4 linked regions of the Struthio camelus genome follow. Each later gene encodes a partner of the first gene's protein in a complex. Links are inferred from orthologs where the notes say so. Each region holds a gene or a part of one and is shown in the gene's direction. Other genes may lie near its edges. The genes, in order: STX5, BET1L, STX7 and VTI1B.

Evidence for each region.
Region 2: STX5 (region 1) and BET1L share a complex: the UniProt entries of both Homo sapiens proteins name them as parts of the SNARE complex. The link is inferred for Struthio camelus from reciprocal best matches to the Homo sapiens genes STX5 and BET1L.
Region 3: STX5 (region 1) and STX7 share a complex: the UniProt entries of both Homo sapiens proteins name them as parts of the SNARE complex. The link is inferred for Struthio camelus from reciprocal best matches to the Homo sapiens genes STX5 and STX7.
Region 4: STX5 (region 1) and VTI1B share a complex: the UniProt entries of both Homo sapiens proteins name them as parts of the SNARE complex. The link is inferred for Struthio camelus from reciprocal best matches to the Homo sapiens genes STX5 and VTI1B.

The regions. Positions count from the first base shown.
Region 1 is NC_090976.1:561,314-568,854, forward strand, and holds the start of STX5 (syntaxin-5), read left to right. Parts: upstream 1-4,540; 5' UTR 4,541-4,636; intron 4,637-5,780; 5' UTR 5,781-5,793; coding exon 5,794-5,988; intron 5,989-6,085; coding exon 6,086-6,156; intron 6,157-6,272; coding exon 6,273-6,328; intron 6,329-6,434; coding exon 6,435-6,505; intron 6,506-6,590; coding exon 6,591-6,707; intron 6,708-6,785; coding exon 6,786-6,842; intron 6,843-6,922; coding exon 6,923-7,004; intron 7,005-7,133; coding exon 7,134-7,234; intron 7,235-7,310; coding exon 7,311-7,432; intron 7,433-7,502; coding exon 7,503-7,541. Other genes in the region: speckle targeted PIP5K1A-regulated poly(A) polymerase-like, read left to right, coding at 629-730, 836-936, 1,008-1,063, 1,154-1,296, 1,385-1,441, 4,223-4,342. UniProt on the Homo sapiens protein: Mediates endoplasmic reticulum to Golgi transport.
Region 2 is NC_090946.1:7,685,348-7,692,642, reverse strand, and holds the start of BET1L (BET1-like protein), read left to right. Parts: upstream 1-4,290; 5' UTR 4,291-4,483; coding exon 4,484-4,631; intron 4,632-5,072; coding exon 5,073-5,164; intron 5,165-5,893; coding exon 5,894-5,950; intron 5,951-7,295. Other genes in the region: RIC8A (synembryn-A), read right to left, coding at 2,716-2,799. UniProt on the Homo sapiens protein: Vesicle SNARE required for targeting and fusion of retrograde transport vesicles with the Golgi complex. Required for the integrity of the Golgi complex.
Region 3 is NC_090944.1:71,939,690-71,947,172, reverse strand, and holds the start of STX7 (syntaxin-7), read left to right. Parts: upstream 1-4,476; 5' UTR 4,477-4,581; exon of another isoform or gene 4,582-4,598; intron 4,599-4,769; exon of another isoform or gene 4,770-4,798; intron 4,799-5,003; exon of another isoform or gene 5,004-5,147; coding exon of another isoform or gene 5,148-5,187; exon of another isoform or gene 5,188-5,260; intron 5,261-5,912; exon of another isoform or gene 5,913-6,039; intron 6,040-7,483. UniProt on the Homo sapiens protein: May be involved in protein trafficking from the plasma membrane to the early endosome (EE) as well as in homotypic fusion of endocytic organelles. Mediates the endocytic trafficking from early endosomes to late endosomes and lysosomes.
Region 4 is NC_090946.1:46,592,368-46,599,269, reverse strand, and holds the start of VTI1B (vesicle transport through interaction with t-SNAREs homolog 1B), read left to right. Parts: upstream 1-3,886; 5' UTR 3,887-4,016; coding exon 4,017-4,131; intron 4,132-6,902. Other genes in the region: retinol dehydrogenase 12, read right to left, coding at 240-358, 1,985-2,187. UniProt on the Homo sapiens protein: V-SNARE that mediates vesicle transport pathways through interactions with t-SNAREs on the target membrane. These interactions are proposed to mediate aspects of the specificity of vesicle trafficking and to promote fusion of the lipid bilayers.

The DNA.
Region 1 (7,541 bases):
GCGTCCCCGCGAGCGTCGGCGGTGGCCGTGCGCCCGCTGTGGCCCTGCCCCTGTCCCCCTGCCTCCCCATGAACGTCCCCGAGTGTCCCCCCGTGACCCCGTGAGTTTCCCCATGTCCCTGCACATCCCCACGAGTGTCCCCCATGTCCCTGTGCATCCCGAGTGTCCCCCCATATCCCCATGAGCATCCCCCTGTGTCCCCTGTGTCCCTGCGTGTCCCCTGGAGTGTCCCCTGTGTCCCTGCCCATCCCCACGAGTGTCCCCCCACGTCCCCACGAGTGTCCTCCGCGTCCCTGCGTGTCCTCATGAGCGTCCCCCCCCATTTCCTCCCAAGTGCCCCCTCGGGCGTCCCCATGTCCCCATGAGCCTCGGGGGCGGCCGTGGGCCGATGTCCCTGCAAGTGTCCCCCCACAAACGTCCCCGCGAGTGTCCCGGCGTCCCTGCGAGCGTCGGGGGTGGCCACGCGCCGGCTGCAGCCCCCCGTGTGTCCCCCCGCGAACGTCCCCCCGCGAACGTCCCCCCGCAAACGTCCCCCCCGCGAACGTCCCCCTGCGCATGTCCCCCCGCGAATGTCCCCCCCCAAATGTCCCCCCACAAACGTCCCCCCCCCCCACTCACCGCCCCGCAGGTGAGGAACGACTGGCTCAACCTCCGCGTCCCCGTCTGGGACCGCGACCTCCAGTTCCTGCCCAGCTCCGACAAGATCGTGACGTGCACCGGGCACCACCAGGTCGGGGGGCACGGACCGGTTTTTGGGGGAAGGGGGGCCCTTTTGGGGTGGGGGGCGCTTTTGGGGGCCGGTTTGGGCCGGCGCCGGACCCTGCTGCCTCCCCAGGTGCGCGTCTACGACCCCAGCTCCCCGCAGCGGCGGCCCGTGCTGGAGACGACCTTCGGCGAGTACCCGCTGACCGCCCTCTCCCTCGCGCCGGGGGCCAAGTGAGTCCGGTTCGTGGCGGGGGGGGGGACGCCCGGACGCCTGGGCCCACCCTGACTGCTCTGCCCCGCAGCTCGGTGGTGGTGGGCAGCGCCCGGGGGGACGTGGCCGTGATCGACTTGCGCCAAGGTGAGGGGCGGCGGGGTGGCCCGGCGGTGGGGTGGTGGCCGGTGGCCCCCCCCTCACCCCAGCTGTCCCTGTTCCCCCCTCCCCGCCCAGGGCGGCTGCTGCAGTGCCTGAAGGGGGTCGCGGGCGGCGTGCGGGGTCTCCAGTGCCACCCCAGCCTGCCCCTCGTGGCCTCCTGCGGCCTCGACCGCTTCCTCTGCGTCCACCAGCTGGGCTGCAGGCGGCCGCGGCACAAGGTGGGGCTCCGCGCGCGCCTGTCCCCTCCGTCCCCCCCCCCCCGAAAACCCCGGCCCGGCCCTGAGCCCGTCCCCGTCCCCCCTCCAGGTCTACCTGAAGTCCCGGCTCACCTGCCTGCTGCTGAGCGGCCGCCAGGACTGGGAGGTGAGCGCCCGGCGCGGGGGACGCGGGCGAAACGGGGACGCCGGGGGGGGGGGACACGGGGGGGACGTGTTGAGGGACGTGGGACGCATTGGGGGGACTTGGGACACGGGGGACTTGGGGACACGGTGGGACATGGGGACATGTTGAGGGATGTGGGACGCATTGGGGGGACTTGGGACACGGGGGACTTGGGGACACGGGGGACTTGGGGACACGGTGGGACATGGGGACATGTTGAGGGATGTGGGACGCATTGGGGGGACTTGGGACACGGGGGACTTGGGGACACGGTGGGACATGGGGGGATGTGTTGAGGGACGTGGGACGCATTGGGGGGACATGGGGCATGGGGGGACATGGGGACACGGGGGGACATGGGGACATGGGATGTGTTGAGGGACGTGGGACACATTGGGGGGACATGGGGCATGGGGGACTTGGGACACAGGGGGACATGGGGACATGTTGAGGGACGTGGGACGCATTGGGGGGACATGGGACACAGGGGACTTGGGACACGGGGGGATATGGGGGGGACATGTTGAGGGACGTGGGACGCATTGGGGGGACATGGGGCATGGGGGACTTGGGACACAGGGGGACATGGGGACATGTTGAGGGACGTGGGACGCATTGGGGGGACATGGGACACAGGGGACTTGGGACACGGGGGGATATGGGGGGGACATGTTGAGGGACGTGGGACGCATTGGGGGGACATGGGGCATGGGGGACTTGGGACACAGGGGGACATGGGGACATGTTGAGGGACGTGGGACGCATTGGGGGGACATGGGACACGGGGGACTTGGGACACGGGGGACATGGGGACACGAGATGGGATGCATTGGGGGACATGGTGGGACACAGGACACATCGGGGGAGCAGGGGACATGGGAGAACACATTGGGGGACATGGGACATGGAGATGTGGGGGACACGAGACGCATTGGGACATGGGATATGTTGGGATGGGAGGACATGGGGGACACGGGACACAAGACACATTGGGGACTTGGGACACGGGGGACTTGGGACACATGGGGGACACAGGATGCATTGGGGGACATGTTGAAGGGACATGGGACATGGGGGACGTGTTGAGGGGGACATGGGATGCATTGAGGGGACATGGCACATGGCGGGACATGGCGGGACGCAGGACGTGGGGGGACATGTTGGGGGGACACAGGACACGGGTGACACAGGGGATGTGAGGGGACATTTTGGGGGACATGGGGACATGTTGGGGGGATACGCTGGGGGGACTCAGGACACGGGTGACACGGGGGATGTGAGGGGACATGGGGGACGTGGGGACATGTTGGGGGGACGGGGGGATGCAGGACACAGGGGACACGGGGGATGTGAGGGGACATTTTGGGGGACATGGGGGGACATTGGGGGGATACGCTGGGGGGACTCAGGACACGGGTGACACGGGGGATGTGAGGGGACACGGGGGGACGTGGGGACATGTTGGGGGGACGGGGGGATGCAGGACACAGGGGACACGGGGGGACGTGGGGACATGTCGGGGGGACATTGGGGACGCAGGACACGGGTGACACGGGAGATGTGAGGGGACACGGGGGACGTGGGGACATGGGACGACATTGGGGGGGAGATGGGGACATGTCAGGGGGACATTGGGGGGGCTCAGGACACGGGTGACACGGGGGATGTGAGGTGACACGGGGGGACGTGGGGACATGTTGGGACATTGGGGACTCAGGACACGGGTGACACGGGGGGAGGTGGGGACATGTCAGGGGGACACGACGGGTGACACAGGGGACATGGGGGGACGTGGGGACATGTCAGGGGGACATTGGGGACGCAGGACACGGGTGACACGGGAGATGTGAGGGGACACGGGGGGACATGGGGACATGTCAGGGGGACACGACGGGTGACACAGGGGACACGGGGGGACGTGGGGACATGTTGGGACGGGGGGACGCAGGACACGGGTGACACGGGGGATGTGAGGGGACACAGGGGGACGTGGGGACATGTCGGGGGGACATGGGGGACGCAGGACACGGGTGACACGGGGGATGTGAGGGGACACGGGGGGACATGGGGACATGTCAGGGGGACACGACGGGTGACACAGGGGACACGGGGGGACGTGGGGACATGTTGGGACGGGGGGACGCAGGACACGGGTGACACGGGGGATGTGAGGGGACACGGGGGGACGTGGGGACATGTCGGGGGGACATGGGGGACGCAGGACACGGGTGACACGGGGGATGTGAGGGGACACGGGGGGACATGGGGACATGTCAGGGGGACACGACGGGTGACACAGGGGACACGGGGGGACGTGGGGACATGTTGGGACGGGGGGACGCAGGACACGGGTGACACGGGGGATGTGAGGGGACACGGGGGGACGTGGGGACATGTCGGGGGGACATGGGGGACGCAGGACACGGGTGACACGGGGGATGTGAGGGGACACGGGGGGACATGGGGACATGTCAGGGGGACACGACGGGTGACACAGGGGACACGGGGGGACGTGGGGACATGTTGGGACGGGGGGACGCAGGACACGGGTGACACGGGGGATGTGAGGGGACACGGGGGGACGTGGGGACATGTCGGGGGGACATGGGGGACGCAGGACACGGGTGACACGGGGGATGTGAGGTGACACGGGGGGACGTGGGGACATGTCGGGGGGACACGGGGGACGCAGGACACGGGTGACACGGGGGGAAGTGGGGGGGCGGGTCCCCCTTGCCGCCCGTCACCCGCGGTCCCCGCCAGGCCCCGGCCCCGGCCCCGGCGGCGGCGGCGGAGGAGGAGGAGGAGGAGGCCGAGGCCGAGGCGCTCTGGGCCGCCATGGAGACGGTGCCGCCATCCAAGAAGCGGAAGGCGACGACGTGAGGCGCCGCCGCGGGGCCCCCCCGGCCCGTAACGGCCTCTTTCCCCGGCCCATAAAGGACTCTCGTGTCGCCCCTCGTGTCCCGCGTCCCCGATTTTGCGTGGGGGGGGTGTCCCGGGTGGGGGTGGTATCTCAGGTGGGCCCCACCCGCGCCCGCCGCCATCGCCCCTTTAAGGCGCGGGCGCCTGACGTCGCGCGCGCGGCGCCTGACGTCGCGCGGCGCGAGACGTGGCAGTGACGTCGGGCCGGGCCGGTGGGTGCCGGGCAGCAGCGCCGCGCGCTCGAGCCGCGGCCCGGTGAGCGCGGGGGGGGCGGGGCGGGGCCGCGAGCACTTCCGGGTCGGCCGCGCTCGTTGGGGGGGGGGGGGGGGGGGTCGCCCCGAGCCGTCGGTCCCTCGGACGCCTGGGCCCCTCCCGGGGGTTTGGGGGAGGGGCAGCGTGGTGCCGGACACCTGGGCCCCTCGGACGCCTGGGCCCCTCCTGGGGGTCGTGGGGGGGGGGTGGGGCAGTGGGCTGCAGGACACCTGGGTCCCTCGGACGCCTGGGCCCCTCCTGGGGGTCGTGGGGGGGGCAGTGGGCTGCAGGACACCTGGGTCCCTCGGGCGCCTGGGTCCCTCTAGGGTGTTAGTAGGGGTTGGGGGGGGCAGTGGGGTCCAGGACACCTGGGTCCTCGGGTGGGAGGGGGTGAGGGGGGGAACGGTGGCCTCGGACACCTGGGCCCCTCCCGGGGGTTGGGAGAGAAGCCCCACTCACCTGGGTCCCTCGGACACCTGGGCCCCTGCAGGGGGTTGTGAGGGGAACCCCCGGACGCCTGGGTCCCTCGGACGCCTGGGCCCCTGCAGGGGGTTGTGAGGGGAACCCCCGGACGCCTGGGTCCCTCGGACGCCTGGGCCCCTGCAGGGGGTTGTGAGGGGAACCCCCGGACGCCTGGGTCCCTCGGACGCCTGGGCCCCTGCAGGGGGTTGTGAGGGGAACCCCCGGACGCCTGGGTCCCTTGGACGCCTGGGCCCCTGCAGGGGGTTGTGAGGGGAACCCCCGGACGCCTGGGTCCCTCGGACGCCTGGGCCCCCCCAGGGTGTCAGCAGGGCTGGGAGAGGAGGGGAGCGAGGGCTCCCGGACACCTGGGTCCCCAGCGGACCGTAGGGGTGTGGGGAGGGTGAGGGGGGGTGTCCCCGGACGCCTGGGTCCCTCTCAGGGGAATTGGGGTGGGGGTGGGGGGGCAATGGGGTCCCGGACACCTGGGTCCCCCCCAAGGTGTTAGTGAAGGTTGGAGAAGGAGGAGAAGCAAGGGGCTCCCGGACGCCTGGGTCCCCGGGCCGCAGGAGGCCCCGGACGCCTGGGTCCCCAGCAGGTGTTGACGGAGGGGAGTGGGGGGGGGGGTCGCGGAGGTCCCCCCCCGGCAGCAGCGGGTGCCCCCCAGCTGACGCCCGGCCGGCGGCAGGTGATGAGCCCCGATGAACGCGCGGCGCCGCCACGGCTCTAGGAACACGGAGCAGGGCGTCTACCTGGGCCCCCCCCGGACGCAGGCGCTGCCCCCCGCCTCCGCCGCCGGCCCCCCCGTCACCGCCGCCGCCCCCCCCGCCGCCATGTCCTGCCGCGACCGCACCCAGGAGTTCCTCTCCGCCTGCAAGTCGCTGCAGAGCCGGCAGGTGAGTCCTAAAACGGAGAGGGGGGACGGGGGGGGGACACACGCTGCCCCCCCCACTCACCCCCCCCCCTTCCCCGCATCCGTCCCCCCCCCCCAAGAACGGGCTGCAGCCCAGCAGACCGGCGCTGAGCGCCGCGCGGCAGCGGAGCGAGTTCGCCGTCATGGCCAAGTGAGTGATGGCGGGGTGGGGAGGGGGTCGCGGTGAAGTTGGGGGGGGGCCCCCACGCGTGTGTCCCCCCCACACACACCATCCCCGGCTCTCACGGCGCCCCCGTCCCGCCGCAGGCGCATCGGCAAGGACCTGAGCAACACCTTCGCCAAGCTGGAGAAGCTGACGATCCGTGAGTGCGGCCGGGGGGGCGCAACGCGGGGTGGGGGGGGACACGACGGCGAAGACCCTCACCCCCCCGACCCCCCCCACCTTCTCTACCCCCCTCCGCCTCGCAGTGGCCAAGCGCAAGTCGCTCTTCGATGACAAAGCGGTGGAGATCGAGGAGCTCACCTACATCATCAAGCAGGTGGGGGCCGGGGGACGCGGCGGCGGGGACGGACGGACGGACGGACGCGCTGACGCCCCCCCCCTTCCCCCCCCCCGCCCCGCAGGACATCAACGGCCTCAACAAGCAGATCGCGCAGCTGCAGGACGTGGTGCGGGCCAAGGGCAGCCAGAGCGGGCGCCACGTGCGGACTCACTCCAACACGGTGGTGGTGTCGCTGCAGGTGCGATGGCGGCGGCGGCGGCGGCGATGGCGGCTCCCTCCGCCCCGCCGCTCACCCTGCCGCCCTTCCCCTCCGCAGTCCAAGCTGGCCTCCATGTCCAACGACTTCAAATCCGTGCTGGAAGTGAGGACGGAGGTAAGCGCTCGCCCCCGCGCCGTCGCCTTCCCCCCCGCCGCCGCCGCGCCGGCTCTCACCCCGCCATTGCCTCCCCCCAGAACCTGAAGCAGCAGCGCAGCCGCCGCGAGCACTTCTCCCGCGCCCCCGTCTCCGCTCTGCCCCTCGCCGCCGGCAACCTGGGTGAGCGCTCGCCGTGGCGGGGCCGGGGGGGGGGGACCCCGGAGGGATGGGGTGGTGGTGGGGGGGGACGTTCGGTGCGGGGCGGTCTCGGCCCCCCCGTCTCCGCGCTCAGGCCGCGCTCTGCCGCAGGCGGCTCCGCGGTGCTGCGGGAGGAGGCGCCGCGAGCCGCCGACGTCGCCATCGACATGGACGCGCGGAGCGGCCAGCAGCTGCAGCTCATCCACGAGCAGGTGGGGGGACGGGGGACGGGCGGCAGCGACGCCGGGGGCCGACCGCGCAGCCCCCCGACCCTCTCCCGCCCCGCAGGATTCGTACATCCAGAGCCGGGCCGACACCATGCAGAACATCGAGTCCACCATCGTCGAGCTGGGCTCCATCTTCCAGCAGCTGGCGCACATGGTGAAGGAGCAGGAGGAGACCATCCAGAGGTAGCGGCCCCCGTGTCCCCCCTCACCCCGCGCCGGGCTCCCCGCCCTCAGCGCCCGCCTCTGCCCCCAGGATCGACGCCAGCGTGGAGGACGCGCAGCTCAACGTGGA
Region 2 (7,295 bases), on another chromosome or scaffold:
CTGTGCCAATACATTTTTTCCCCTTGATATTTATTGTTCCATTTCCTTACGGAAAGGAAGTACTGCCTCTTGTTATTTGCAAACAGATCCTTGTGTTCTTCATTCCCACAGTGTCTGGAAGTACAACTGTTTTTCAGCTCATGTTCTTTACACACAACTGATTAGCAAAGGTAAACACCCTTCTCCACATGGCGTCTCACAGGGTGCGCTTTACTGCCCTGCATTACTTTGCATCAGTACTTGAACTTGCACTTGCACTTGAACTCCACAAAACGTTGCATAAATATCCCCCACCAACTTGGGCGGCACTGCGGGGTGGGGAGGTAAACAAGTTCATCTGAAGTCTGCAGTTTCTTTCACGCAGCTCTCAATAAGCCAGGCTTCACAACAAGTACTGCAAAGAACGTATTGCTAACAGCAGGCATACAGAACAGCTCACTCCATCCTATTCACCTTTCTGCTTCTGCGAGCACTTCTGCCAGAGAGGTCCACAGATCAACCGTGCGGTGTAGGAGCTTTTCCTTTCACCAATGTGTTGTCTCACAAGTCACAGACAAGGACCGTTAGATTAGTCAGTCCGATCTCCTGCATAAGACGGTCCCAGAACTTTACCCATTATGGTCTTCTGGGAGAAGAAGCGTAAGGAGGGTCAATATTTATATAGCTAGACAGAGGTTTGCGGATGTCATTATCTCCATCATTTTCTTAACGCTCCCCATCACCTCTTTTGCCAAGTTACATTGCACAGATGCATTTACGAAGCTGTTCAATAAAGACAATTAGTCTTACCACAAACAATCATTCTTATAACCTGGACTAATTCTTCTCCTGAGTGATTGCAGTTCACCGAGATCCCATCCGTATGTCTGAATAGCTCAGCTTGTCTCCTACGGTATGTATCACCTTATGGTTCTCCTGCCCATGAGCTGCTCAGTTGTCCAACTGTATCTCATTCCCTGCTCACTGCAGTCAGTGATCGTCTGCACTGAGCTTTTGGAAATCACACGTGTTCCTTGTTAGCCTTGACTCATTCACTCTGCAAGCATAATCTCCTCTGTTGTTCACTGCCTTTTACACACAGGGCCAGCTCCTGGCTACTTGTAAGTAGACGATACAGTTTGCAGATCAACAGCGTCACAGTTACTAAGATCCCTGGGACAGCTTTGGCTTTTTTGGCCTAGAACAAAGAAGGATGGATACAGTGATGCAGACATGCCAGCTAAGAAACCTCGGTGCAGAAGCAGGACATCTGAATTCCTGTAAGCGCTGTGCCAGGGGCTGGCCTTCCATGCTTTAGCGCTGTGAGTTGGTACGCACACAGGCTGTAGCACCACATTACAAGGAACTGGCAGTTCAGTCCTCGAACCGGTGTGCTCTGAAGACAGCGCCATGTCACTTGTTCTTTTCCTTTCCCATCACATCTTTTTTGCAAGTTCCTGTCATCTCATTCGTATGGGTTGCTGCAATACCTGTGGTTTTGCTTCAGTTGGAGTATCCTCCCGTATTTCATTCCTGGCAACCAAGAATCGACCGTATCTATAATAGCAAACTGCATTCCAAAAACATGCCCAGGAAGTGATACCTTACTATCAGTTTTTGCAGTGAAAACTCATGTAGAGAAGTTGCTTAGTTTATTTGTAGTTTCCTATCCTCTTTGACTGCTCCATTTCTTCTAGACCGACTAGCAAAATCACTGACATTCTCACAAGTTTCCTACGCTTGATACACCGACAAAGGATCCAGCTGGAGGAATTCTACCAAGAACGTCTTAAATTTGACACATTAAACTCCCTCTTTGCTCTCCTGATTTCTTCAGCATTACGTCCACTGTAGGTGACTGTAATCCTGCTGACCGTCTTTCTAGTGGGGACCTTCTGCTTCTTAGTTCAGATTTCCAATGTTTCGAAAGTGACTGCTGGGAATAGTTGCACATTTTCCCCGTGCACACTTGTGCACAATACTTGCAGTTTTTCCCTGCTTGCTTCCCACCTGCTTAAGAACAGTGCAGAATGAGTCATGTAGATCTGCAGGGCCAGCCCTATCCTGGTGGAAATGCTCTAAGAGATATTTCCCTGACAGCTAGAGTCTATTTCAAAAGGGAACTACCCCCACAGATCATCTTTGCTGCTTTAAGGCTAGGAACACTTCCATTTCTGCTTCCTAGCCGTTCTTTTCATATCCTATATTCATTTTTTATCCTTTTCTTATTGTTAGCTTTCAGATCAGGCACCTGTACCTAATTCCAGCAGTCCATCCATGTCCACCGCTGGTGATCTTTTGCTTGCAAATCACAGCCACTATTTCACCTGCAGCTCCTCCCTGGGCCTCAGTTCTATTACCTCCAAACCTTGCTTTAACCTAAAAGCTCCTCCTACTTCATATTCATGCTGATGTTTATTTCCCTACCATGCTTTACTTGTGCTCCGGATAATAAAAAATGCTTTCTATGTGCTTTAATTCCAGTACACCAAGGAAATAAGACGAAGAGATGCTGCTTAGCTGTTCCTTACCAAAACACGAAATACAAAACCGTCTGCAAACAAAAGATGAAGCGGTCTACAACATTTTTACGGCAGTAATGCAGAGACAGATGCGCTTAGAGGAGACAGACGGGGGACCGCCGGATGGCACAGAAATCCCACAACATGGCCAACCTGCTTCTAGGCTCACAAACAGAAGCAGCTGACGTCAGGCAGAGGTTTGGTGCTCACTCACCTCCTGGTTGTAGACCTGAAGCACCTTGAGAACTGTGTCTTGCTCCCCGCTTTCCACCGTGGCTACCACAGTCCTCAGCTCCATTATCTCACCAGCTCAGCTGCTGATGGAGGCGAAACAGGCAGGAAGGGGAGCGAGGGCACTTCCAGAGCTCCTGGACAACGCTGATGCGAAGGGACCTTGATACACAGAGAACCGAGGGAGTGAGAAAGGGGTGGGGGAAAGGAAGGAGGGAAGGGGGGAGAAGAAAATCCACACACAAAACAAAACCCCCAAAACACAAGTGGGATCGCTCACTCCGCTGCGTCCATAAAAGCAGAGCAGATAAGATAACGCAAGCAGAACCAGGCGCTAGCTCCCTCTCCCTCTAATCCTGTCTTCTTCTCTTTGCCTCCCAACATTTAACATCTGCCCTCCCAGCACAGCACTCAGGAAAACCTTCCCCCCACCCAGCCAGAGGATTAACATAGAACAGATAACAGCAGCTCCCTGAAATAGCTCTCTGCCTCCTCCTCCTCTGGCTGTCCTGATTTCTGTTACTGCCCAGGAGCAGGGGGGAGGGAAAAAAAAAAAAAAAACAGACTCCTGTGGAGTAAAAAGGGATGGAGAGGAAAGCAAGGCAGAGAGGCAAATACCATCCTGGCTCACTTAAGACTGCCTTTTAAGGTGGTGAAAAAGGTAGAAATCATTAGGATTTTTGCCGAACCTGTTGAAGGGGATAACCCCGTGCACCGGGGCCCTCGGTGCCTGCGTTTTGGAAAGATCAGGGCAGACACACCGCGTACGCCTCGAAACCACACATCCGGATGACGGCTGGCCTGCTTGAGACCCTCAGCAGACAAGGTCCTTCACGGTAAGGGCGTGAACGAGCAGATGCGGGTCTACAAGCGTGAGCCAGGACAGATGCTGTGTCTCCGGCGCTGCGCTTCCCTGCGGCTTTGGGGGCAGAAAAAGCAAGAGCGGGCTGCAGCACTTCTCATTTTTGCTTCACTCCCCCCCCTCCCCTCCTTCCTCGTTTAAGTTCCCTCCGCGCCATTCCTGCGCCCGCCGAGGCCCCTCCGAGCCCTTCCCCTCCCTCCCTGCCTCCGCGGGAGCCGGCGGCGGCGAGCGGAGCGCAGTTACCTGCCCCTGCGGACCCGTCCCTGCCCCGCCGCCCCCGGCGGGCTTCGCGGGTGAACCGCGGCGCCTGGCCCGGGGCTGGGCGGGCGGCCTCCGCCTCTCGGGGCGCTACGTGAGGCCAAAGGGAAGCCGCGCCTCCATTTCTCCCCTCCCCGTCCCCGGGTTTTCTCTCACAAGTTCACTCGGGGAGAGGGCGGAGCGGGGGGGGACACCGCGAGCGCCCCAACGCCGGCGCCGAGGAGGAAGAGGAAGGAGCCTGCGTCGCGCTCTCCCCCCCCCCCCCCCCCCCGCCAAAACGGCGGCGGTGGCGGCGGCGGCCATTTTGTAGAGGCGGGGGGCCGGCGGGGCTCCGCCTGCGAGGCGGGCCCGCACCGCCGCCTCCCGCCGGGGCCGGGCGCCGTCATGGCGGAGTGGGGCCGAGGTGAGGGGGAAGAGGGGAACGGGCCAAGCCGGGCCGGGTTGGAGGTTCCCTTCTGCCCGCTGCCCTGTGGGGTGCGGCGCGCTGCCACCGCCGCCATTTGGGGGATCGCCGCCGTCGCCGCCATTTGGGGGATCGCCGCCTCGGGGCCCGCGGGGGACGGCGCGGCGCGGGGTGACAGCGTCGGTAGCGCCTCCCCCCCCCACCGGCGACTGCTTGTGGCCCCCCGAAATGCTGGCGGAAAGGGTCGCGCTTCTCGCCGGCCCTTGCGGGGATGCCGGCGGGGCTGCCTGGGCAATGACGAGGGGAGGTGTTGGGGGACAGAAAAACCAGCGAAGCCCAGAAGCGCTTTTACAGCCTGACCCCGCTGCAGGGAAGGGTAAAAAAAAAAAAAAAAAACAAACTGGCCTTTTCCTTCCTTTAGCCAAAGTAGCGTTCTGTGGAGATGCGCCCTGTCGCTGGTGCATGGGACAACGCGCGTCCCCCAAGCGAGGGCGTTGAGGGCTACTGGCGCGCCTCCGCGCTTTTTTAGAGCTACTTTTGGCGGCTAAAGCCCCCCGGCACGTTTCAGGATTTCTTTCCCGAGGGCTCTGGCCCTTCCTTTCGGTGGAAGAGCTTGGGGGGGGAGGGAGGGCGTTTCATGGCGGTCGCCATCCGTCCCCTGCGCCGTGGGATGCGGGAAGCGCGAAGGCGGCTGAAACGGCCCGTCCGGAGCGCCGCAGCGACCCGTCCCACAGCGAACTCGCTCTCCTCCTGGGGCGAGCGAACATGCTGCCACTTGTAAGTGGGACCGATAAAACCCTTTCTCTTTTTGTGCCAGGTCAGAGTCCGAGCACCGTGGAGGATATGTTAGATGCCGAGAACAAGCGTATGGCAGACAGTCTAGCCAGCAAGGTCACCAGGCTGAAATCGGTGAGTTGCTGAGTTCGCATCCGGGGCTGCGGTAAATGAAGTTTACCTGGGCTTCAGTTGCCTGCGTTGTTCGTCTTCCTCACAGCGCCTTGTGGGAGACGCAAACCTCTGGCCGATACAGAGGGCTTCCTCTTTATAAGCAGCTCTTAAGAGAATGTTGTAGTGGATCTAATAGTCAACTTTCCCTAGTGAAAAGCGGCATCAGGTAAGGCGTTTTAGGCACAGAGAGAAACCTGAGAGATGCACAGAGGAGTGTTGCTAAGTGCATCTCCTCTGGAAGAAAAGTCACAATAAAATGACAAGCTACTTTTGAAAAATACCCAGGTATGTACGCATGTGGTGTTCTAAAAGTTAGTTTGCCCCTGCTAACGTCAAGTACTTTGATTTAGAACTTAGTGTAAATCAGTGATTAGTATTATAGCAGGTAGGACTGATTTCTGCTGTTGTGAATATTTAAATGCTTGTGTCATATATATGAAGCTTCTGTCTGATAGTAATGCTTTACTTCCAGTGCTATAGAGCAAAATCATTTAAACAGTCATCAACGGAAATGAGAATCCTGTTCTGTCATTGTACCAAACAAGGCTCTGTAACTCTATACAGGAGGCAGGGGGAGGTGGTGGCTTGCTCTTCTATTTGCGTTTCAAATTTTTCCAGCTTTGGATGCGCTAGAGGTGGTCTCCATGTTAAAAGTTCATTAATACCTGTTTCCTCCCTCATCCTGTATAGCTGGCTCTGGATATTGACAAAGATGCTGATGAACAAAACCATTACCTGGATGGCATGGTAAGAAAGCAATGAAACGTAAAAACCATGGTTTTTTTGGGGGGGCTAGCTCTCAAGCAGTTACCTTATTTGTGAAAGTTAATAGCAGTTCAGTAAAGGAGAAAAAGTTAGATTTTCCCGTTGGCAAGCCACATAATTCAACTAAACCCGCTTACTGTGGGTTTATTGATAAATAAACATTAGCTGCTCATACCGCTTTGAATGGGCAGCATAGCCAGGTATCTAGCATCTGGAAACACCCACGTAGGACAGTGTACTCCAGCAATACAGATGGAGATTACCTACTTACTGGGATTAAAGACCTGCCTCCTGTAGCTAATACTGGGAGATGGGCCTATTCCTCGGTTACTTCTGTGATTTTTGGTAATGTTGTATAAATCTGTCAGGATTACTCACTGTAATCTCTGAAACACAGAATAGCTGTCAGGGTTCACTGATGTCTTTGGAAGGAGCAAGGCTCGCGCTCAGAGTGCAATCAGGTTGTTAGGTTCCCTGTTCTGTTATCATTCTGCTTTAATTTCTAGAGGTAACATAAACATCGCATGCACAATGGCTGATAAAACCAAAGTCACTTTCCGGAGTAATCTGCCTCTTAAGCTTTGGTTGCTGATGGAGAATCCCCGTGCTGTGGGGAAAGGCCAGGATGACCGATTACTATATTAGTGCCTAGAAAATATATTATCATTTAAGGTCAGAAAACAAGGTAAGGTTTCTCTTGCCTCTAGATTTTCCCTATCAAATTAAATATTCCTATATTTAGGTCGCACTGTTAGTTTCTGCAGCGTTACCTAAATTGAAATACCTTAAAAAGTTATGTAGCACTTGCAGAGGAAAGACTTGTAGCAGAGGCAGTAGCAGAGGGCTTACCTGCTGAGGCTTTTTGGGAGAAACATAACTCATTAACTGAACTGTGAGAGGAAGGGAATCCCACACAGCTATTTGAGAAGAAGGTTAGCACAGTAACACTGCTGCTTTGAGAGACTTTTCTGCACATGCTGCATTTTTGACAACTGGTAGGTGGACTGGAGAGAAGATAATTGTGGCATTGAAGCCAATTGAGTCAAAGATGTGAGCTCAGCTGGAATCTTAATAGCAGCACACAGTGACAGTGTTGCAGTATCTGAAATGGATACTTAACTCAGCCAGGAAATTAAGGCGACTGGAGAATCAAAGTAAAAGATGTTATGGCAAAGAGCTTAAAGGAGAAGTCCTAAATAAACATGAAATTATGCTTCTGTTAGGGGAGCTTTTCAAAGATTTCGGGAGAAACATGAGTAGAAGCTACAAATAATGCATGAATAAGGAAAGCAGGCCAGGAGTCAAAATTAAAATGACTGAACTGCAT
Region 3 (7,483 bases), on another chromosome or scaffold:
GCAGAGGATCTTCAAGATCTCCTTTTTGTCTAAATGGCAGGCTGGAATAATGAGAGAGAGAGAGAGAGAGAAGCAGAACCAGTTGACTGAGATGTACAGTGACAGAGCAGGCAACCGAGAGGGAAAAGCTGCTGTGATGCTGGCTGCGATTGTTTTCCTGTTTTTCTGGTCACTCTGTTTCTCAACAGTCATAACTGATGCCTTCTTACTCCTCCCTTTGCCTTTGATGTCTGTTTGGTTTACAAAGTCAGACTCTGTCATGATCGCTTTGACTTTTTTTCTCCATGTTTTCGAAAAGCAATGAAGGTGACTGAATTGTAAAATGATGATGATGATGAGTTTTAAAATGATGAAGCTTTGTTGCTCAACAATGACCTCGTTTTCAAAATGAAAATCTATAAGGTTCTATCCGAGAATGGTTGCTGACCTCTAGTTCATAGATTTTATTCCCTTTAATAGCTTTCCTTCTGTACGTCTGTATTTTTTTATCTGAGCAAAATATTGCCATTTAATTTTACGCCCTGTATAGCACCTTATCATTTTAAACCTTGATTTGGCTGAAGTTTGAAAGATTATGCATTTGAAGGTACTTCTTAAAGACTAGGCTTTGATATAATGTACTATCAATATTGGCTTGTTTCACTGCTGTGGATGAAAACATAATATGGTCTTACGGAACTAAACAGAAAGGCAAAGAAAGTTGTGGAAACAAGTTGTGAAAATAAGTTGTGAAAAAAGTTGTGAACTTCATGTTCATCCTTTTTTAGGAAATATTATCAATGTTAGGAACAGAAATCTTCTCCATTCATTTCAAACATATATTACCACATTAATCACTTCTGCTGGAGAATAAGTGTCAGCCTAAATAAGACACAAATGGTTGGTAGAGTTATTTAAACAAATAGGCTGTAGAAGCCATTTGGCCATGTAATTAGTCTATAAGCTTGTTCAGGCTGGAAACCTTCTTACGTCATAATTTTGTACAGCATCTGCTGTAAAATGAACATCGTCTTATTTCAGGTTCTTGAGGTGATAGTTTGATTCAATTAGCAAACAGAAACAACAACAAGAACAGGAATTCTTCACTCTAATGGAGTGCATTAATAGCAACCGGTTGGGAAATCCAGCTAGACTGTTTGCCATTTGTAGCAAATACTAGCAACATTGCCCTTGAAATCTAAAGTTAGAGGCGCATAAACGAAATGTGATAACAGAGAATGAAATTTGCCCATAAGGTAAATTATGCCCCACTTACACACCTCTCACGCCTTGGAAAGAGGATACTCATTAAGAGTATGAGGACAGGGCTGGGCCTCCTCCCTATCGTTTCTTTGTGCATCACACAGGCACGACTACTCAGCTCCTCTGCCAAAAGCAGCTCTGGTGCCTGCAGCACCTCCTTCCTGCTCTGCAGCTGCCTGCCCAGGGCCGCCACCGTGCTTGGGCCCTGCGTGGCAGCAGGCTAAGGCTGAGGGCAGGAGCAGGATGTGGGAGGCAGAAATACAGAGTCAAGGAGCAGGAAGAGCCCAAGGATTCAGATACGGGTCTGGGAGAAAGGTGTGTCAGTTCAAAATCATGCTGTGTTGTTTCTGGTTCACTTTCAAATCTTTCAAATATCAGATACCGTACTGCATATGAACCCTCAAGAGTCTGAAAGTAAAAGGGGAAACGACATCGCTTTTGAGGTGACAGTTCTTTTAGTTCAGTTTTACACACAGCAGCAGGAATATAAAATGGCATATACCCTGATTTTCACAGTCACAGAATATCCAAAGCATCCTCCATGGTACCCCAAACCTATGCATCCCAGAGTCTCAGCATTCTTCCTTCTCTCCCCAGGGCTTTTCCTCATTTCACCTAGTCAACTGATATTTAACCATGCTCCAAAAGCAGAAGGAAAGGTACTCCTTAAGGAGGTGAGTATTTGATTCTGAACTCAGTACACAAGTAATAACTGATGTGGGAACTCTAGAAATAAGTCAATGAAATGAGTTTATACGTAAAATTGTGTGGCAGCACTTCTCTTCTGCATCTCTGAATACAAGAGGTGCTTCTTCACAACTCCTGTTCATGGAGTAAGCACCACTGAAAACATCCATATTTGCTAGTAAATGAAACCATGCAGAAATTGAATGAATACTCACGTTTTATCCAAAAGGGTAAGGCAAAGCAGCATTTCCCTAGTAAATGTTTTTTCTATAGGAGATAACAAATATCTTCAAAAGACATATCGTGCTCTTAGCAATATCTGACCAAATAACAGGACTTTCTGGCTGGTTTCTTAACTGTATCTTCATAATTATTTTATACAATTATATTAAAGAGTCAATTCAAATATTTTCATAGTATGGACAACATTTTAATGACGAGTTTGCTTTACAAGCCAACGTTCCTTCCAAGCTATAATATCTTTGCAGCAACTTGCTACATCAAAGAGCAGTATCACAAAAATTCTGAGCCGATGAACAATAAAAGACGGATGCTAAGCGAGCTACTAACAGCATGTGAGCAGCAGCGTTTTGTCCATAAAACACCAAGTGTCTCTATGAAAGCACTTGGATACCGCTTTTCTATAGCATAAGAATGAACATTGACCCATGTTTATGATGACAGCACATTGCATCCAAACTATGATCTGCAGATAAAGTATTCTCACTCACAAAGGGTCACTAGGGTCACTTCTCTTTTTTTTTTAATTAGAAGTACATATTTGAAATCAGATAGCAAGAGATATATTGTTTTCTGGGGGAAAACTGACAGTGATCTCAGCTGAGGCTTTATAAATCAAGAGTGACTGAGCTTAATCAATGGAGAGAAATCAATCAATATGACAAAAATGTGAAGATAAAAATCAAGGCAGGGCCTTAATTCAGAAGGGAAGCGAATTATACTGTCATGAACGCACCACCTAGTGGAATTACCTTGGACTGAGTACTTCAACAATACTTGGAAAAAAGCCCCACAAATATAGCAGCACTAGGATAGTTGCTTATCAAAGTGGCACGTGAAAAATTGAATGAAGAGATGTACACCATGCCTGCAGCAAATGAAAGGAAGGACAGACATATCAAAATGCTTTTTCTTAATAACTTTAACTTATACAAATAAAAAAAGTTCATTTCCCAGCATCAATCCATGAAAGAAATATGTGTAGCTATACCAGTCTTGGAGACTACATTGTCTCTCATTGCAGCATACTTTGAGACACATTAAAAATCACCTATGTCAGGGGCACCCTTTCTGAAAAGGGTAGATACTTCAGGCTTTTTAACTTCACCGAACTCTGTATTTTACTGGACTTCTTTATTAGTGTTACTAGATTATGATGTTATTAAGGTTTTCATTGTTCTGATTATTTCTAAACCTTAGCAATGACTGAGCTTTATGTCATAGCAGAAGTAAACTACCGTGCCTATGAGGCAGGTCAAGGCTTGGCAAATGAGTACACCTTCCAATGTCTGTAGCTCGTCTTTAGACAAAGCTGGGTTTTGCTGACAAGATTACTTTCCAGAGCAATCACATACCGTGCACTGCTTGCTCTGCTGTATTTAATGTACACGGGAGCGTCTTGTACACCAAGCAGGCCAGCCTGCAGCGCGCTGGAGAACATCTGACCCTGTAATTTTCCCTTCAAAAAGACAAGCAGGATCCAGAAGCATTCCCAGCTGCGATGCAAGAGGCCTAAAGGCTCATTTGTCCCTTTTTCTCAGGTAACTGGGTCAGGAGGGGAACGGATCCCCCATTTCCTGGCTCTGCTTCCTGGTACCACGTCTTCTGCTGCATTTGCAGTTATATACCATCAGTTACTACTGACACACTAAACTGACTGCTAACAAATGCGTGTATGTACCCTTCATTTTTCATTATTCTAAACATTTCTTGCCTTCTCTCTCAGCTAATTACTGATTACAGGCCTCTAAATAAATTTATCATTTTCCACCCACCTTCAGCCTCTAGAAGTGCCCACTTCCATTTAGAGATGAAGTGACCAGAACTGGAAGTCGTGCTTCAGCGAAGGATGCTATGGAAGTCAATGTAATGACATTGAATTCTTCATTGTTCCACCACTACCTCGTGCATAAATATATAAACTTCTGCTGCAACAGCATCTTTTCCTTAAATGACATTCTCACATAGGCAACTCTTTCACTCATGCACGATCACAGTGTGCTGACAAGCTGGCTAAAGTGCATACACATTTCCTTTTTTTCTTCTGCGTGCGCACTGCCTTGCACGCACCCTCGAAGGACTACCGCCTTTTCAAGCCTGAACCCATGCAGACAGCAAAAACAAAACCAAAACAACCCCCCCACACCCCCCCAACCCAGAAACCTCGGCCGGCAGGGTCGGCACGCAGCGGGGCACCAGCCCCCCAACAGCGCCCAAACCCACTCTCCCTTCACCCACTGGCGCCCCCGGCGGGGCCGGGGCCGGGGCCGGGGCGGGACGGGACGGGACGGCACGGGGCGGTGCCGCGCAGCGCCGCGCCGCGCTGTGCCGGGCGGCCAGGCCCCGGCCCCGGCCCGCCCCCTTCGCTGCCGCCCGCCCGCCGCGCCCGGGGGAGCAGGCGCGCCGGGGCCGGTGAGACCCGCGGCCGGGTGGGGAAGGGGCTGCGCGGCGCGGAGCGGGGCGGCGGCGGGGTGGGAGCCGCGGCGGCTGCCGGGCGGGCCTGGCGGCCGGGCCGGGCCGGGCCGGGCCGCCTCCCGGGCGGCAGCGGGGCGCGGGGCCGGCCGGGCTGCGGCCTGGCGGCGGCGGCGGCGGCGCGGGGCCCGGCGGGAGAGGGGCGGCCAGGAGCGCGGTGAGGGGCGGCGCGGCCCTGCCAGCGCCCCGGGGCGGGGGGGGGGGTAACGTTTGTGTCAGCTCTGGTGTGTCCAGGGGGGAAATGGGGCCTGAAGGCGGTATTTGGGACAGGGTATGGTGCGTTTTCACGTGTGTGGCCGGGGCTGGTTTTCCGTGGTGATGTTCAGCGTCGCCGTGTCAAAACATTCCCCGTGTTGTTTCAGACCTCAGATGAGCAAAACACGTCAGCGGAGGGAAGGAAGATTATAAAAGTCAGACGGATATTTAAATAGTGAGCTTGGGCCTGGCATTTTGGGCTTGTGGCACAGCGTTATCGCTGCTTTTCTCGTTGAGCGCCTTGCTGCCGCATGAGACGCAGACACTTGCAACTACAGGAGGAAGTGAAAGGTTTGGCTCTGCTCTGCATGAAGTGCAAAGCACTTAATGGTAAAACCTGGGAATACTTATGGCCGGGACTGAGGTGACCGCGTCTTCTCACCCTTTCCCCTGATAAACAAGCAGTGCCCAGCTGCAGAAATGTGCCGGCAGGGCGAGTGCTGTGCAGCTGCCTGGAGGATTCGTGACTAATAGTCATACCGTCATGTGTTTCGGCGGCACTGCAGTCCTGCTGTTTTAAGCTTTGGGATTTACGTGAGTGCTCTTAGCAAAAGGAAAGAAGAAAACAGAAGTTAAAACACGTTAAAACAGGGATGCTAAATGCTACGTTGAGGCATTGCCATAAACTGTATTTGTATATCCTGCATGACAATATCTTTTGTAACCTCATATGCAAATACTAAGTTACTCTTATGTTGGTGGCATAGGTGGAAGAGATGCTCTTTGCATACTCCTCATGGTCTTAATTTCTAAGTCATCGTCTTGGTGGGCCTTGGAGAGAATCAGCATCTAGCACAATCAAACCTTACGCAAAGATGATTTCTACATCAATATACTTAATCTGAGCCCTTGGTTAAAGGTGCACAAGCTCTCTTTAGGGAGGTTTGGATAAGAAAAGGTGTATTGCACTAGGTGTTCGGTGGCGTTGGTCTGTATTCGTTTTCTCGTAAGATGTTGTTAGCCTGGATCATAAGGAACGGGGCACTTTGAAAAAGCCATCTCCATTCCTCTTTCAGCCCAGCTGCTCCCTCTCCTTCGCTCCCCAATAGTTCCAGTATCCAGTGTGTGTTTTACTGTTCCAGCTTCGCTGTCAGGCCTCTAAACGCTCTGTGTTCTCTGGGGAACATAATTCCCCTTGTTAAGGTATTTCCTTGAGAACTAACGTGTTTTGTTGCACAGTCTGATAATTCTTATTTTTCATATTTAAAAAAAGAAATACTTCCAGCAATTACATAAAGTAAAACTTGGTTTTGGTGTGTTTCAGCCTAATTTTTGAGGCAAGGCTGGGAGAACTGGGCTTGCTTAGCCCGGAGAAAAGGGGATTTGACTAAACTCACTCCTGACTCCGGTTTGAGCAGGAGGTCAGGCTAGAGACCTCCTGAAGTCCCCCCCCCCGCCCCCAGCCTGTGTGATTCTGTCACTGTGGTAAATCAGAAATTGTTAGCAGTCTAGTTTAAAATCTACAAAAATTAAACACTTTCCGTTTTACTCTGACAATTAACTGGACAGCTGTAGACTTTGTCAGGGAAATCAAACCGTCCCCATATTGGTTGTAGACACAGCTTTGAAAAAGCATTTTACTGTATGTTGTATGTGACTGATTTGCGGGGTGCAACGTATGCAGTAACTTAGCAGAGTGAAATAGAAAAATACCGTCTGATGTCGTCTATGTCACTTACTGCATAAGAACAACGGAAGTTTTAAAGAGACTTTGTTGTTCCTCAGTACCCTGTGTGGATTTAAGTTTGACTTTGGCCTGAAGATAGATGATGGAAGTTAACATCCAGAGTCTTTAGTATTCCTTTTAAGTAGAAAGGGAAGAATACTCTTTATGCCTGTTCTGTTTGCATGTATATTACGCTCCATAGGTTTTCTGGTGTTGTGGAAGTGCCCAGAGTCCCTTTGTGGTCCAGGAATGCAGCATGTTAGGAACTGCAGAAGCACAAGGTGGAAAGTATGATCTCTTTTTTCCAAAATACTTCAGCCTAAGTATAAGGGGAGAAAAAAAAGTAAATGCATCCAGACGAAACTTGCCTCCCTCATCCCTGCTGGAGAAAATAGTTTTAATTCTCACCTGTATATCATACAGTGTTTTAAGTCAATTATGAACATCCCTCTGGTGCTGTAGTAGGGAGTACTTACCTTACAGTGTAGAGTCTGTTCTTTTTTCCAAGAGCTTTAATTTTTTTAAGTTTAATTTTACCTACTCCAAAGGGATTGCCAAGGTCAGCAAGAGCTGCTGTCCAAAGACAGTATGTGTTTTGGGCTGCCTTAAATAGCTGCCAGTGTCAATCTTTAGATGCACTTAGTGTCATCTCGGTACTATGGGGGGTAAAACCTACTGAGGTGAAATAGATTGAGCAATGTCATATTGCAGAAATCTTATTAATCAGTTATTACTGTGACATTAATGTTCTAAAGCTAAGATTGTGACTCACTGTCACTTTTTTGCCAGAATCTTTCTGCTGTTTACATGTTCATCCTTTTTGACTGTTTTCTCCTTATGTGAAGGATTTTGTACAAATCCTTTTTTGAGGGGAAAGGGGAGACAGAGATTTCTTTACAAAGGAAGTCACGTTTATAGTTT
Region 4 (6,902 bases), on another chromosome or scaffold:
TGTTCGGGCCTCTGCACCAGAGTAATGTGCCATCAGGACACGTTCCCACCACCATTATATCTTGCAGCTGGGGTTTTCACCAAGAAAAAGGATAACTAGGTGCTATCTGTTAGACTCCCAACTCTATAGATGGGAGTGCAAGATAATCCTCCCTTAGATCCAGAAAAGGGACTACTGATACACATGCGCACACATATCAGTTTCAAAGGGATGCTTGCTGATGTAGGACAGTGACTTGCCTCTTCGTGCAAGATCTCTGGCTGTCTCCTTCCCAATGCCTGTGTTGGCTCCTGTGATTATCACCACCTTCCCATCTAGCTTAGCTGTTGACTTACACTGTCCTCCAGCAACATACCTCCTGGAAAAGAAGATAACAGGAACAAGAGGATAACAAGAAAAGGTCCAAGGACAGTTTTTCTGGTTATGAGGTACAGGCCAGGGCTAATCACTTACAGCTCTTGGTTGGCTGTGCCCCAGCAGCTGGGCCAGTTACTGCTCTCAGAATAACCTGTGATTCATGTGGAGAGTTACCTAAAGTGGTTCCACCTGCCAGTTCACTACACCCCTCCTTCCCTCCTCAAGCTTCCAGCAGCTGCCTCCTCTGATTAGGTGTCCCGATCAAGCCACCACGCCAGGTTCCTAGTCATCTTCAAACCCCTCTGCTTTGAGCGTAGCGCCAGTGCTCGAACACAGAGCCGACAAGCCCAGCTCACCCTCGGCGCAGCTGACGGCCAGTCGTGCGGAGAGGAAGGCTCGGCGAGGACAGAAGGGCGGGCACCATCACCGCCTGGCACAGAGGCGCCTCTCCCAGGCCCTCGCGGGTGAGGCTCGGGTTTCCACGCCGTGCTGCCGCACTGCCACCAAGAAACTCGCAGCCACGCCGCTAGCCCGGCGGGAGAGGCCAGTCGCGTCGCTCTCGGTCGGGCCCCCGCCGCCCTCCAACCGCCGCCCTCGCGCCGGCTTCGCCCGGCCGCGCCGTTGCACAAAGTGGAGCCACGGCTCCCCATTGGCTGCCGCCATCGGCAGGCGGCCATGCGGCGGCTGAGCCCATGGGCGCGGCGGCGGCTGCCCGCCCCGCCGAGCCGCCGCCGCCGGAGCCCCGCTCGGACCGCCGGATACAGCGGCGCAGCTGTATTTCTGCCTCCTAGGCGGGACGCCTTTCCCGGAATAAATTTCCAGCTGTGGGAGCCTGAGGAAAGGCAGGCAGAAACATTTCAAGCCACCTCTCGAGGAGCAGACGGAGGTGCGAGCCAGCCTACTGCTCGCAGCTGGGGCAGCTGTTGCTTTCTATTGTCTCCCAGTAGCTGATACAGAAGAGCACAGAAACTAGGGCAAAAACTGAGCGGAGACCTAAGAGCATCCCAAATCCTAGGGCATGCGCGAGATTGTTTCAAATACATTGTTAATTAGACACGAGAGCTAGAGAAGTTGAAGTAACATTTTAGCCCCACGAGGTTAAAAAAAAAAACTATTTTATTTACCTTCCTTTTAAAAAAAAACCTAAAACCTGATGGGGACAAAGACCCAAGCAACCAGGATTTTTTTTTACCTAATCCTTCTTCCTAGACATTAAAGGTGCTACTGAAGAACGGATATTTCTATATATCTTTTATTTTCTGCACAGGCATTGAATGATTTGTATTTATTTATTTATTCATTTATTTTACGAACGCAGAAACCAAGCCCGCTGAGAGCTTGCACAGATTTAACACAGCCGGCGCCAGACGGGGCTGGCTGCGATCGCCTTGCTTAAATTCCTGTACGAGCTTTTTTATTTATTTATTTTTTTTTAAGAGTCACAGACTCACGCGCATGCAAACACTAGGCCCCCGGACCCCTGAAATAACGACACACCCCGGCCTGCGCCCGGGTGCTGCACCCGCTCCCGGCGCCGGCACGGACGACGCGACCTGCCCCCTCTCCCATCCGCGCCCAGGAGGGCTCCCCGCGCACCCAAAACACGCGTACAGCAGCCCCGACAGACCTGAGGTAGGGGGCTGCCACAAGGAGGAGAAGCGGGAGTGAGACAGCCGTCCCCAGCACGGCTCCCCAGCAGCTGAGCATCGCCGCCGCCGGCTCCATGCTCGCCGCCGCTCTGCCTGGCAGCCCGGGCCAACGGGAGGCCCCGCCCCCGAGACGCGAGGTATGCCGGGAGCTGTAGTCCGCAGCCGCTTCCGCGCGCGGCATGCCGGGAGCTGTAGTCCGGAGGGCCCCCGCACAGCATGCCGGGAGCTGTAGTCCGCAGCCGCCACCGCCCCCCCCCGCACGGCATGCCGGGAGCTGTAGTCCGGAGCCGCCCCCCCCCCAGGAGCGGAGCCCGCAGCGGACCCCGGTGGCGGAGGCGCGCACCGCTGCCTCCTGGCCGCGGAGGTCCGGTGCGGTTCCGCGTGTCCTCGATCACGGCTGAAGAGCTCTATGTCCCCCCTAGGTTTTCCTTAAAGTTACCCACGCTGTGATTTCGTTTAAATCCCTGCCTGCGCTGTGGGCGAACGACACGTTTTTGCTTGCTTGCCCCGGCGCTGCAGCAGTAGCCTGGCTGCGGAGGAGCAGGCCGGTGCCCGGGCCAGCCTCCCCGGTGCCGCCCTGAGCATCCCCTCCGGCTCAGAGACCACCGCGCAGGTCTGGGCACCCTGGCTGTCGGACACTGGCTGTGGGGCTCGGCGCTGTGCTGCCCTGAGAGCAACGTTTGCAAGACAGCAGGCACCTCACACGTGTGTGCAATGCCCCTACTTCACCCACTAATGTCACTTAATTCCACTAAGGTGAAAGGAATTTCAGCTGTGCTAGCTGCTCTAGAGTCCTCTTCCACTGAGCCTGGTTGCTACGCTAAGAGATTCACGTTTAGCTCTTTGCTGTAAATGTACTACCCTACTTGAAATATCAGCTTGCAGTATAAAGCCAGCTGGCTCTGCACCTTCGGTCTAATGTTTTCTCCCGATGGAGTACACATCTCTAACCTTTGTCTTTCTGAACTATTTTAAACAATAGTTCTGCTGTCTTAATAAAACTTTCCTATTATTCGGCTGGGAAATACCTGAAGAGAAAGCTCAGGAGTGGTCTGGAGGACAGTTATGCAAAACGTCAAAGTAAGGTCATTTATCTTTAAGCCCTTTCTTAGCGTCATTCCTAAATTTATGATATTAACCCCAGCAAAACGTACAAAATGGGTACGTATACCTATATGCCCACACATATAAAGGGCTGGGGGACACGCTCCTGCCTCCAAGTCCGTGTTCAGTCCGCAGATGTTCACTCTCACCTCTACCAGAGAGTTAAAGCAAAAGTCCGGGGCACCAAATTGCTTTGCCTCCTGGTACCTGAGCTTCCCTGCAGACGCGCGTCCTGGCCCCAGCTGCAGACAGCGCGGCGGCCTGGCCGCAGCCCGCCTTCCTGGTTCTCGAGAAGCAGCTGGAACCCAGGGCCCTGCACACACACACCCCTCCGGGGAAAAAGCCTGTTTCAGGGCGTGCCTTCCTGTCAAGGTATACCACCTGTACGACACAAAGACGCTAACCGCAGACGCGACCTGCCATCGCAGTCGGAACGAAGACGTTTCACGTAAAGCCTCTTTCGGGCCGGGAAACATCGGCTGCAGCTTCAGCCGCGCCCGCCCCGCCGCCCCCGCGCAGCCTACGCGCCCCAGCGGGCACTGCGCGGCGCGAGGCCCCGCGCCCCGCCTCGGGGCTGCCCCGGCAGCGCCTGACGCCCCCCGCGGCCGTTGGCGGCCGTTGGCCGCTGCCGACGCCGCGCCAGCCCTCTCGCCAGGCGGCTGGCGGTCGAGCCCCGCGGGGAGCGGTCCGGGGGGGGCGCTGCCGGCCGTGCGGCCGGCGGCACCGGGCGGTTTTGCGGTCGGGCCGCGCTTCGGGGCGCCCAGCGATGCGGAGCGGGGGGTCCACGGCGCCGCCGGGCTGGGAAGCGGCCGCCAGGAAGCGGCGATGCGTCGAGCCGCGCGGTAGCGGCGCGGGCCGGGGGACGCGGGAGCCGGCGGCGGCGGCGGCGGGACGCGGCTGCCTGCCATGGCGAGCCGGGGCTCTGGCTCCTCGGAGCACTTGGAGCGGCTGCATGAGATCTTCCGGGGGCTGCACGGAGACTTGCGGGGCGTGCCGGAGCGGCTGCGCGGCAGCGCGGCCGGTGAGCGGGGCAGAGCGGCGGCCGTTACCCGCGGCCGGGGGGGAGGGGCTGGAGCGGCGCGCGCGGCCAACGGCCCCCGGGCGCGGCCGTGACGGGCCCGGCTGGGCTCCACCGGGCGGCAGGGCCTTGGCCGGCCCTCGGACACCTCCCCCGGCGAGGGGCCGTTCCCCTGGCTGTGGCGGGGTCTGGTCGCTGCGCCGTTCGTCGCTGCTTCCCTTCCTCCCTGCTCGGAGGCCCCTCTGCCGGGCCCTTGCCGGTGCTTCCCGGCCGGCCACCCCGCTGCATAGGTGGGGCCTGCTAACTAACAGGACAGCTGCAGGGAGCCTGGGTTGCTTTTCTGTAGATAAATCCATTTTTACAACCAGAGAACAGAGTCTCTCTAAAAGCCCTTATGGAGGGAAGGAGTTTGCTAGGACAGTTGCAGGAAGTTGGTGCATCACTTCGAGCTGACTTTCCTTCCCCGCGACTGTCCCTTGGTTTGCTTCCTGGGAGGTCATGCTGTCGTGGCTCTGTTAGGTCCGGCTTCTCTATGTCTTATTTTCCCATTACTGCTATTTTCTCATAGCTTTGCTGTGGAGTATTGGGCATAGTCATGTAAAGCCCCAGACATGGAAACAGCTGGGTGCTTGTGTCACTTTACCCCTGGGGAGCAGTTCCTCTTGCCTGGCAAATTGCAGCTCTGCAGCCAAGCGCTGCTGTGCTGCTGGGCGTTCAGCTTCAGTCTCAGCTCGGTGGAGAGGTGGTTACTTGGTGGCACTAGAACTTTACCTGGATTTGAAGTTTTAGCATATTTTCATGCTATTTGCAAGTGAACTGCCTGAATTGCATTTCTCTCATCAGTGTTGCTATCTTGTTTCAAGATTTCAGTTCAAAATCTCATCAGTTGAACTAGAAGCTGTTTTCAGCAGTACGTTTGTCTGAAACAGTTCATAGATTTATTTACCAGTGAAATTTTCTATTGTAAAAGACTGTTTTAAAAGTGTGGTCTGTGCCCTACTCACAGCCTAGAAAAACAATCTAATGTAAAGCAAACTAGACAAAGTTCTGCTAGGCACAAAATCTAATTGTTTAGGAATTCTTTGCTAAGTAATGGAGCTCATACTAGTGGTTAAAACACTCTCTGACAGAACACCTCTCTGTAAAGACTCTGTAGTGCCTTTCCAATTCAGTTCTTAATATTCGGTTGTGTTCTGAGAACTGGAAAGGGAAGTGATCTGGCAAGGAGAATTCTACCAGTGTGGCCGACTCTGGTTAAATACTTGCTTTAAAGGAGAAACGCGATACGTAATTGTCGTGAACTGCTGCAACCAGTTTCTTCTGAGTATGGGTGTTCTTTTGAATGAGTAGAGGTTATAAGCCATGCTCTGTGATAGTTTAGTCTTGTGATCCCCAGAATTCCTTAGTTCCATGTATTTAGGTATAAAATCACAAATCCTGGAAATAATTGGTTTGTTCAGAATCTACCACTCTGCGTGCTAGATAACACGTGCTATGAAAAGCTTAGTATTCCATTTCGTATCTGGCTCTGTATTTAATATTGAGTTAAATTCAGGGTCACAATCCTCATTATCAAGGTTCCAGAGAGTTTGGCACAAGAGGGACATTCAGAACTGCAAATTACAACTTTCAAAGCTGACTTAATTTCACTGCTGGTCAGCAAGAGTAAAAAACATACCCTCTCTTGGAGAATGGCCTGTGAATCTGGATATTGTTTGCATAAAATTTTTTGAAGATGGTTTTATGAGACAGCGACTGTCCCTGCTGCCTTGAAATGCAGGATCTGTCTCTTAATACCTGACTTTAAGGAAAAGAATGAGAAAATACTGTGCTTGCATCACTGTTTACTTGAAGGGCTCTGAGGGAATTGAGAATGTCACTAACATTACTTTGGGTTGAAAAGTTCCATAGAGCAAGAAGTACAACACTCTCTATTGTAATTTAATTTTATATTTATAATATTAAAATAATAGAAATTCCTTATAAGAGATCCTCACTTTCTTGTAGAAAGGAGAGTGATGAGTTTTTCAGTAAAGTAGAGCTTTGTCAAGACTATAATAGTCTTGAGCGGTAGATGTAAACAATATTTACAGGAAACAATTTTTGCAACGCTTGCAGATTTTTCAAAAGATTACAAATAATTACAAATTGATTATTTCAGACATGCTACAAAATTTTAGTATAATGATGTTATTCTTTAAATCTGTTACTGGAAAAAACAATAATACTCTGGAAAGTATTTCCAAGAGAGTTTAAGATATGTTAGGAATTTCTCTATCTGGTGAAGGCATGCTGCACTGCTGGTGTGCTTTGTCTGCTTCTAATACATATGGGGTGTGCATGTCTCTCTTTCTTGAGATATCTGATTCTGAGAACTTCAGGAGACAATAAAAGAAATTTTACACACTCCTTTTAAGATGTCCGGCACCTTCCCAAAACTCCAGGTAAGACAATCTTTAGTTCCTTGGTAGCCATCTTTGAGGGACGCAAATTTGGAAATGCTATTCCGTTCTGTACCGATAAGATAACGGAATCCTTGATCTGGAAACCTTTTCTCTTCCACGTTTATAAGAAAGCATTTCAGATAGCCTGGATCAGTTTAAAATATACGTTTCTCTAAAGAAATTCAGTTTTTTGTACTTACAAAAAACAGTACAGCTTAGGTGCGTCATGTAAATGAGAGGAGCTATATTATAATGTTTTGATCACTTCAAAACTTTCTCCTGTTCAGCTGTTGAAAGCTTAGTGCCTTAAAAAGCTGCTGTTCATGCAGG